Linked DNA regions of Danio rerio. The main gene of each other region encodes a partner of the protein of the gene in region 2 in a complex. Links are inferred from orthologs where the notes say so. Each region holds a gene or a part of one and is shown on either strand. Other genes may lie near its edges.

Region 1 (4,609 bases), on a different chromosome or scaffold from region 2:
ACTTGTCTCCTATTTAAGTGCATTGTTTTTTGTTTTTTTTTATGACGGTATAACACCCTATTCACACGGGGCTTCAGGGTCAACGCTTGGCTGAAGGCGTTTGTGAAGCTGGGGCTAAAGCGATCGTCATAGCAGCGTCAGCCAATGAAATTCAGTCAGCAATAGGTCAATGTTTTGCTGGTGTATTTGATTACAGCGATATGATTGGCTGACGCTTTCGTCGGCGCTTGAAAAGTTGAGCTAGTCCCAACTTCTGCAGCGAGCAGCACCTCGGAAGTGGCGCCGACAGATCCACAATGCAATTCGGCAACGCCTGACGTCACCCATTCAAAGTGATTAGGAAGCATTGACACTGACGCTCCGTGTGAATGGGGCGTAAAGGTATTGAAACTGACACCGTTGCGATTTTTAGATCCTGTGGTATACCATATTACGTAGTGTATGAGGGTGACAGGCCGGCCGGAATGTGTAAAAAAAAAAAAAAAAGTCGTTATCATATGGACTTGTTCCAAAGAGCCGACCCCGCAACCATACGGGACTAAGGCCAAAGAAGAAGATATACATATATATATACACTTTTGAAATCATAAAATATATCAAACTAAAATGAAATCTGCACTGATATGTGGTAATAGTGAAGCAGGTGTGTGCGCTCCCTCTATTGGGAACTCTTACTGCAGTTGTTTGTGCAGGGGCAGAGCGATCTGCGGCGGGACGTTGACGAATCTCTCGCTCAGCAGGAGCCCTACAGACTGAGTGTTACCCTGCAGGAGATTCTCCATCCGCTCCTGCACATCCGGAGTGCTGCACTTCACACACTGATCCAGTATCATGTCCTTCAGCTTCTCCAGACACTCCACACCCTGATAAACAAACAATAATAATCACACTTTAAGCCAAATGTCAAATTTTCCAAGATACTCACCAATTAAAAAACTGAATTTGCATGACCTTTTATATTCCACATGCTTTAATATGTTCAAATAACTTAATATTAACTTTGTTTTAGCTTGAATATCATTTTGCATGACTTTAACAGCCACTACACTGTGAAATGCGAAATACTCATGCAAAATATGATATTCTAAAAACTCCAGTGGGATTGTTGTAACTCAGATCAATCCTACAGAAAGTAGAGTGTGTGTGTGTGTGTGTGTTATGATTGTCTGACCTGTCTCTCGGTGAGGTTCACCATACTGATGAAGCCAAACACCTCGTCCGGGTCGCCCTCATCATCACTGTCCTCCGGTACTTCAGCTTGCTGGAGCAAAACACACACATAAACTATAATACAGCAATATCAGAGCAGAACTACAGATGTTCATTATTACTGTTAGTGAATATTATACAAATGAGTTTTAAATATATTAAACATTTACAGTAGAGCTGCACGGTATATTGCTCAACATCAATATTCAGTGTTGCCAGATTGGGCGGTTTTGAAAACTGCTATTTAGAAATAATTTATTAGTTTAGAATATGTGAAATGATTCTGTAGGGAAGTGAATTATCCATAAAAATGTCAAAAAATAAATTAAAAGTAAAAATAAAAGTGAAATAAACTGTTTTAGGGATTTCAGGGAGTGTTCAGGTTCATAATTTCAATAATCAAATGTTACAAATGCTAAATTTTCTTTGCCTGAATACTTTGAACACTGTCAGGCCCAGGGGCGGACTGGCCATCTGGCAATTCTGGCAAATGCCAGAAGGGCTGGACCAATTTTTAAATGTGGGTCGTTCAGTTTTTATTTAAATGTATTGTTTTTACGTGGAGGCAGCTTTTATCTCTTGCTAGATGTGATATTATGATGATGATGTTAATAATTATAATAATAATAAATGTTAAGCATTTGGACCAATTATGACGGCCGCCTGATTTCAAGATGGGCTGACCCAATCCGAGGTTACCCGGACGCAATCAAAATATGGCAAGAATGTCATTATTTCACCATCTGTACATCAAAATAAATAGTGAATGTGCGTGTCCGTGGGTGGGGCTATGCTGGTGTGGTAATGTGGGCTGATGTGGCTACAGTGCCAGGGCTGAATTTTTGTCCCAGTCCGCCCCTGGTCAGGCCTTAAAAACAGATGCAAATAGTAAACCTTTACTACATTATAGTGAACATGCTTGTTAAAAAATGTATGTAGTGAATATACAAAGTACATATTTTCTCTAGTAAGATGTATTATTTGTGTTTATATAAATATGTTTGATCATTTTAATCCCTTTTTCCCCATTTACAACTTCTGTTTGTTCCATTACTATTTTATTTTTCCGTTATTTACATTATTGTACCTACTTCTTTTCTTTTTGGCTCTTAATTTAAAAAGTACGCTACATGGACATAAAATAAATCTAAACTGAATGAAATACACAGTTATGACCAGTAAAATTTAAGCTATTTTGGGGGGTAAATGAAAGTGTATTACCCTGATGACACTGCCGATGTGGTTCTGCTGGATGATGATGTCAGTGAGGTCAGAAGTGTTCACGTGACACTTCAGAAACAGCTGCAAAACAACAACACACATTTATGTCTGCATTCATAAATTAACACTCATATAATCACCACATAATCTGCAATAAACCGACGTTACCTGTTGAAGAAGGGTTTTGATGCCGTGAAAGTCGTTGTCAGAGATCGTGTGTGCTTCGAAGTCCACAATAACCTCCTAAATGCAGACCAAAACACGTGTGTTGGTCATAAAACAACGTGTTTTTCAGACAGAGCCAGCATGGCCTGCACATCACGACATTTCTGCTCGCAAAAACAGTTCGGATAGGAACTTACCTCGTTTACTTCTTCTTCTGAATTTTCGCTGTCGTCGTCGCCAGAGTCTTCCAGACCCTCGTCCGAGCTTTCGTCGCTGTCTTGTGGATTTTGTCCAGTTTCAACAGCACGCCTTTTGGCAGATGAAGCCATGCTGCTTCACTAGTGTACAGGAAACAGACACGAGCTCGCGCACGGCGACGTTTTGTGTCGTCTACATGCTAGGAAACTGAGGAGTCTAATCGGACATTTTGGCTCATTGTAGACACAAAGTCGCGGGCGCAAACACGCCATACTCAAGATCCAAAATGGCGTCTTTTCCAGCTCACGATCTTAAGAAGCAGAAGATACCATATTTTTTTACAGAGGGGTGCTGCATGAAAATGATTTATTACTTTTGAATAAACAATTGTATTGATTTAAGTGCCAGATAGTAATTTTGGTTAATAAAGAAAGATAAATATTGTCGTGATGTTGGAGTTACTTCAGAAATGAATTATATATTACGTAATTTTCAAAACAAACGTCGATGGTACCTGTTAGAACAAACCTTCGATGAAATAAATAAGTTTCTCTCTTACTTAAGTTTTTGTCTTACAAGTCAAGATAATATATTCCACTAGTAACTTTAATGCGTCTACCTATTAGTCTATTCGTTATCGGCCTATCTGTCCATTCATTCATTCATTCATTCATTCATTCATTCATTCATTCATTCATTCATTCATTCATTCATTCATTCGTTCGTTCGTTCGTTCGTTCGTTCGTTCGTTCGTTCATTCATTCATTCATTCATTCATTCATTCATCCATTTCTTGCCTGGTGAAAGGGGTGGTTCTTTTTTTCTTTTTTTTGCAGTTATACGCCTCAGTTTCTATTTAACTATAAGATTTAAATACTGCATTTTAGTGATTTTTTTTTTGTTGTTGTTGCTGGATTAGCTAGTCAGATGTCATCATAACCACACTTTTTGATGTACAAAAAATATTTCATAAAAACTTGCTATAAAGAAAAAATAAAACAAGACTAATTATTAAAATACAAATTTATTACATCATATATCATTAGAAAAAAATAGCAATCTGTTAAAGTTTTAAAGTAAAAAAAAACTGCAGCCTACTGTCATTTATTAGACAAAAACAAACTGGCCAGCACATTTAACTTTTCTGTCACAATTTGGCCATTTCAATAAAAAAAAATTAAACATAATAATAATAAAAATAATAATAATAATAATAAAAATAATAATACAATAATAATGAATTCTTTCCCAGAGATGGGTTGCGGCTGGAAGGGCATCCGCTGTGTAAAACCTTGCTGGATAAGTTGGCGGTTCACTCCGCTGTGGCGATCCCGGATTAATAAAGGGACTAAGCCGACAAGAAAATGAATGAATGAATGAATAATATACTTTTTACCAGTTTATATTTGGCAACATTTTAGTTTAGGTCACAATTCACAGTATTAAAAAACACTGAAACTAACACTACTAGCTTAATAAACCAACTAGCTGTTTATTAATAGTAAGTAAGGTACAAATTGGGTTCATGTTAGGTTAGGATTAGGGATGTCCCCCGGCTACGGGCATGATGTAGTGGGGTAGTAAGTAACATGCTGTTAGGTTATGTGACCGCTAGATGGCGTTCTTGGATAATAAGAAGCTTAGCACCACTAGGAGTTTAGCAGAGTCTTTAGTCAGAGTAGTGTGTTGTTGTCCTAGCCGGGCTCACTTTCTGTTCTGATGTCCCGCATCTGTCTTTAATTATATTCATCTGTCTCCATATTCTACTGCATCCCAGAATAATACACAGCACCAAAAATGTAAAAATATACATTCA
Region 2 (4,434 bases):
CGGAATTAACCGCCAACTTTTCCAGCATATTTTTTACCCAGTGGATGCCCTTTCAGCTGCAACCCATCTCCGGGAAACATCCATACACACTCATACACTACGGACAATTTAGCTTACCCAATTTACCTATACTGCATGTCTTTGGACTGTGTGGGAAACGGGAGCACCCAGAGGAAACCCACACCAATATGAAGAGAACATGCAAACTCTGGGGCTCGAACCAGTGACATTCTTGCTGTGAGGCGACAGCACTATCTACTGCGCCACCGCATTGCCAAAGTATTTTTAATAAAGAAAAAAATTCTGAGAACCAAGTGAATGACATTCCTATACAGAACAACTCACAGAAATTAACCATCAGCCCATTTTAGAAATGTATGGGATGAAATACATTTGTTTAACTCTACTTTTGTTTTTATTTTAGAGACAGATAATGCACGTTTCTGGTAGAATGTCCTGTACATTCTAGTTACGTATAAAGTATGTCTTCAGAAACATAACTATATATAAAGGAAGTCTAATAACAGTATACAATCAAAGTGCATATAGTTGCCAGGGGTAAAAATAAACAAAGAGATTTAATAATAATAATAAAAACATTTAATTAACGTAATTAAATTTGTATAACTGATTTCATTACCTTTTTTCAGGTCACGTGTGATGTCACTTTTTTTTAAAAACGAAAAAAATGTTACATAAGTAACAGGGAATACATAAAACATTAATTTGTGCTTATATTGAGTGACCTGAAAACAATTTAAACATATTCATTGTATATCTAGTAACAAATGATACAAGGGCTAAGGGAAAAAAAAAAATATATATATATATATATATATATATATAATTTATTTATTTTTTTTTCTCAGTTGTTTTAGCAGCTTTCTTATTTTGCGATGGGCAGACAGATTCATAATAAAGTTTCAAGTCAAGACAAAATGTTCTAAAATTAGGCAAACACTGAATAACTGCGTTTGTGAAGATGGAATAAGCCACAAAGAGTACATTTTAACCTATTGTCCATTTCCTTACAATCTGACTCCCAAATCCAAAACAATAAATTTATTGTCTTAAAATCAAAAAGTTTTTGTAAGCTGAGAAGACAAGCCAAGATATTTCTGTCTGATATCATTACCTATCTGGACGTCAGATGGTCGACATGTGCCTGTGGTCGCCTGGCAACATAAAAGCCTATTCAGCCAATCACAAGCTTCTCCTGGCGCATTGATACCAGCAAATAGTATAGTATGTTTTTAAATTTCTCATGGAGCTTTAGTTCATAAATGTCTTCTATCACGGCGCTTGACGTTGGAGTTCAGGTAAGTGCAATGCAGAGAGATTAGTTAAGATTTAATGATTCAAATAAAACAAAAATGCTGTGTGTGATCCACGTGTATATGACAAGGCTTGGGGGGAAATAGTGCGCGGTGGAGTTGCGGATGGTCAGGTTATTTTGTAGGCAGTTATAAGAGAGAGCGCGTGTGTGTCTTCAGAAGTGAAGCTCTGGCGTTTGATGACTGAACAGATGGATGGAGGTGCTGCTGCTAAAACTTATTTGACATCCACTACTTTGTGCCAACCACGTTGCTGAGCACTTCAGGTGGATTTCCCGAGAACAGTAGGTTGCATTTATTTCAAGAGTTTTTCTCGATTTAAGCGAGTTGAGTCTATGTGGTTTGGATGCAGTCGCGAGGTTAACTTTAAAGTTTGTTTTTCCGATTAAATCCATTAACGTTAGAATTTTTGGTGTGTTTGTCCCGAACGCTGACTGAGACTCTTTCGACCCCTCACGTGCACTTTTTCAAACGCTGCTCTTTCTCTTCTTCGCCATGCTGCGATGGTTCGGTTGTTCATTGAGGTTAAGTTAATTTAATATTCACACATTCGGACTTTCTCCTTAATAATGCAATTTCAGAAAAGTACTGCTAATCATACATTTTAAAAATCATATTAGCAGCAAATAAACAATATAGGGAGCTGTCAGCGAACGAACGAGCGAATGTTAAATAACTTTACCTCAATCGTTTGTTCGACTAAAATTAGATCGATTTATTGTATTTAAAATATAGAGCGACTGTTTTTAATTACTTCCAATGAATGTACTTGTGTTGCAAGTATGTATGCTGAGGTGTCTTGTGTCTTAAAGTCTTGTTGTTTTTATCCAAATTTGGAACGCGTCCAAAATGATACTTTTTTGTATGATTATGTAAAACAATTGCGAATAAATTAACTTTCTAACACATTCCTGAAATGATAGAGAATTTCTCAATGGGAACTAAAAGCGGACCGTTTAGTATCAAACTTTTCCTTTAATATTATTTGATTTGTATAGTTGACAGCCTCATTTTTTAAAAATTGTTGTGAATGTTTTTACACTTTTTGTTGTTGTTGTTTAGTTATAAAACTTAATTTAATGTGAATTTACATTTTTCTTTTGTGCATTTCTTTTATCTCTGTGCTTTTCTATTTTGGGCTTGTTTTACTTGATAAACTAATTGAGCAGCAGCTGAGTGTTACCCCGTAAATGCTTCAGTTGATGTTTGGAGTTTGTTTGGCCTTCTGGAAAGCCTGAGAATCAGTGTTAGCTTTTCTGTTATACGAGAGCAGGGAACCTGTTGGACAGTGTGTCTATATGTGTTCCTTATGTACCATGTGTTTAATTTTAATTTCAGGCTCGTTATTCAAGTTAAATATTAAAATGCAAATCTTTTCAAAGATTTAGTTTTTTTTCCCCTTTTATTTAAAAAAAAAATGGACTCAGTGAAATTTTTGCCCTTGTATTTTATCTCAGGAAACTGCATAGATGGCAAACATGGCCTCAGCCTCAACCTCATCCAGCAATGAAAGTGAGTCACAAAGTGTGCTTACCTGGGAGCAAGTGAGCCGCTTGAACGATGTGCTGACAGAGGCCGTGCCGGTTCATGGACGTGGCAACTTTCCCACCCTCGAGGTCCGGCTGAAGGATATTGTACAGATAGTGAGAAATCGGCTGGAGCTGAGAGGCATTATGGTCAAAGATGTGCGTCTGAACGGCTCTACAGCCAGCCACGTGCTGGTTCAGGACATTGGTTGGAGCTACAAAGACCTGGACGTCATCTTCAGGGTAGACCTTCCTCGGGAAGAGGAGTTCCAGCTCATCAAAGATGTGGTTCTGAGCACTTTGTTGGACTTTCTACCAGAGGGGGTGAATAAGGAGAAGATCACCCCGATGACACTGAAAGAGGCCTATGTCCAGAAGCTGGTCAAAGTTTACACTGATCAGGACCGCTGGTCCCTCATCTCACTGTCCAACAACAATGGCCGCAATGTAGAACTAAAGTTTGTGGACTCAATCCGGAGACAGTTTGAGTTCAGTGTGGACTCCTTCCAGATTATTTTGGACTCTGTTCTGTCCTACTATGACTTGTCAGAAAATCCCATGTCTCAGCATTTCCACCCTACGGTGGTAGGGGAGAGCATGTATGGTGACTTTGTTGAGGCTCTGGGCCACCTCACGAATAAGACCATTGCCACCAAACGCCCAGAGGAAATCCGTGGTGGTGGTTTACTCAAATACTGCAACCTCCTGGTGAGAGAATTCAAGCCTACAGATCCAGATGAATTTAAGGCTCTGGAACGCTACATGTGCTCCCGTTTCTTCATTGACTTTCCCGACATTGTTGAACAACAGCGCAAACTGGAGGCTTATCTTCAAAGCCACTTTATTGGTGAGGAGAGGAACAAGTACAACTACCTCATGATCCTGCGGCGGGTGGTGAACGAGAGCACTGTGTGTCTCATGGGACACGAGAGACGGCAGACGCTGAACCTCATCTCACTGACTGCGTTCAGGGTGCTCGCTGAGCAGAACGCTATACCTGATGTGTCCAGCGTCACCTGCTACTACCAGCCGGCTCCGTATGTCAAAGACCTGAACTTCAACAACTACTATGTGGCCTCTTGTAACCAGTCCATTCCAACTTGGTTGCCGTGTAACTAAGACACAAAGGATGCTTATTTGAAGACTAAATCCATCAGTTGGTCAGAACGCCAGATAATTGGCCATAAGGGAAGTTTCCCTCTGTAGACATAAAGGATGTTTAAAATATCAAAGTTTTTTTTTCTTTTTTTCTTTTCTTTTTAATTCCTTCTCTGCAGAGGTGCCAAGACATTTCTAATTCAAAGTGATATATTTTAGGGATTTGAATTAATTTTTTTCCCTTTTTTTACTTTAATAAGAAGTTTCAGATTTGTTTGTTGCTCTCATCTGTCCCTTATCTGAGAGATTTATTTTCCATATTGAAGAGAAACAATTCCCATAGTGCCTTATTAGATTCTAACCCCAAAAGTAAAGCGTATTGGGACAAATTTATATATTTCCTGTGTGTTACAAAATATAAATGCCAAAAAAATATAATAATGTTCTTAGAAATTTGGAGAAAAAAAATACAAAAA

Evidence for each region.
Region 1: the proteins of tent5c (region 2) and bccip are in contact, whole or in part, in a cryo-EM structure (PDB 8EQB), measured with the Homo sapiens proteins. The link is inferred for Danio rerio from reciprocal best matches to the Homo sapiens genes TENT5C and BCCIP. Residues at the interface, in NP_060179.2 of Homo sapiens: Asp90, Asp92, Glu102, Gln106, Arg109, Lys135, Glu136, Val139, Gln140, Lys141, Leu142, Val143, Lys144, Val145, Cys146, Thr147, Asn164; in NP_510868.1 of Homo sapiens: Val57, Asn58, Ile59, Glu60, Phe61, Glu62, Ala63, Tyr64, Ser65, Arg136, Gln146, Cys153, Lys155, Ala204, Gly205.

Annotation. Positions count from the first base shown.
Region 1 is NC_133187.1:47,448,798-47,453,406, forward strand, and holds the start of bccip (protein BCCIP homolog), read right to left. Parts: upstream 2,987-4,609; 5' UTR 2,925-2,986; coding exon 2,793-2,924; intron 2,674-2,792; coding exon 2,599-2,673; intron 2,512-2,598; coding exon 2,431-2,511; intron 1,262-2,430; coding exon 1,172-1,261; intron 864-1,171; coding exon 676-863; exon of another isoform or gene 427-675; intron 314-426; exon of another isoform or gene 1-313. UniProt on the Homo sapiens protein: During interphase, required for microtubule organizing and anchoring activities. During mitosis, required for the organization and stabilization of the spindle pole.
Region 2 is NC_133184.1:22,394,729-22,399,162, forward strand, and holds the start of tent5c (terminal nucleotidyltransferase 5C), read left to right. Parts: upstream 1-1,494; 5' UTR 1,495-1,618; intron 1,619-2,791; 5' UTR 2,792-2,803; coding exon 2,804-3,979; 3' UTR 3,980-4,434. UniProt on the Homo sapiens protein: Catalyzes the transfer of one adenosine molecule from an ATP to an mRNA poly(A) tail bearing a 3'-OH terminal group and enhances mRNA stability and gene expression.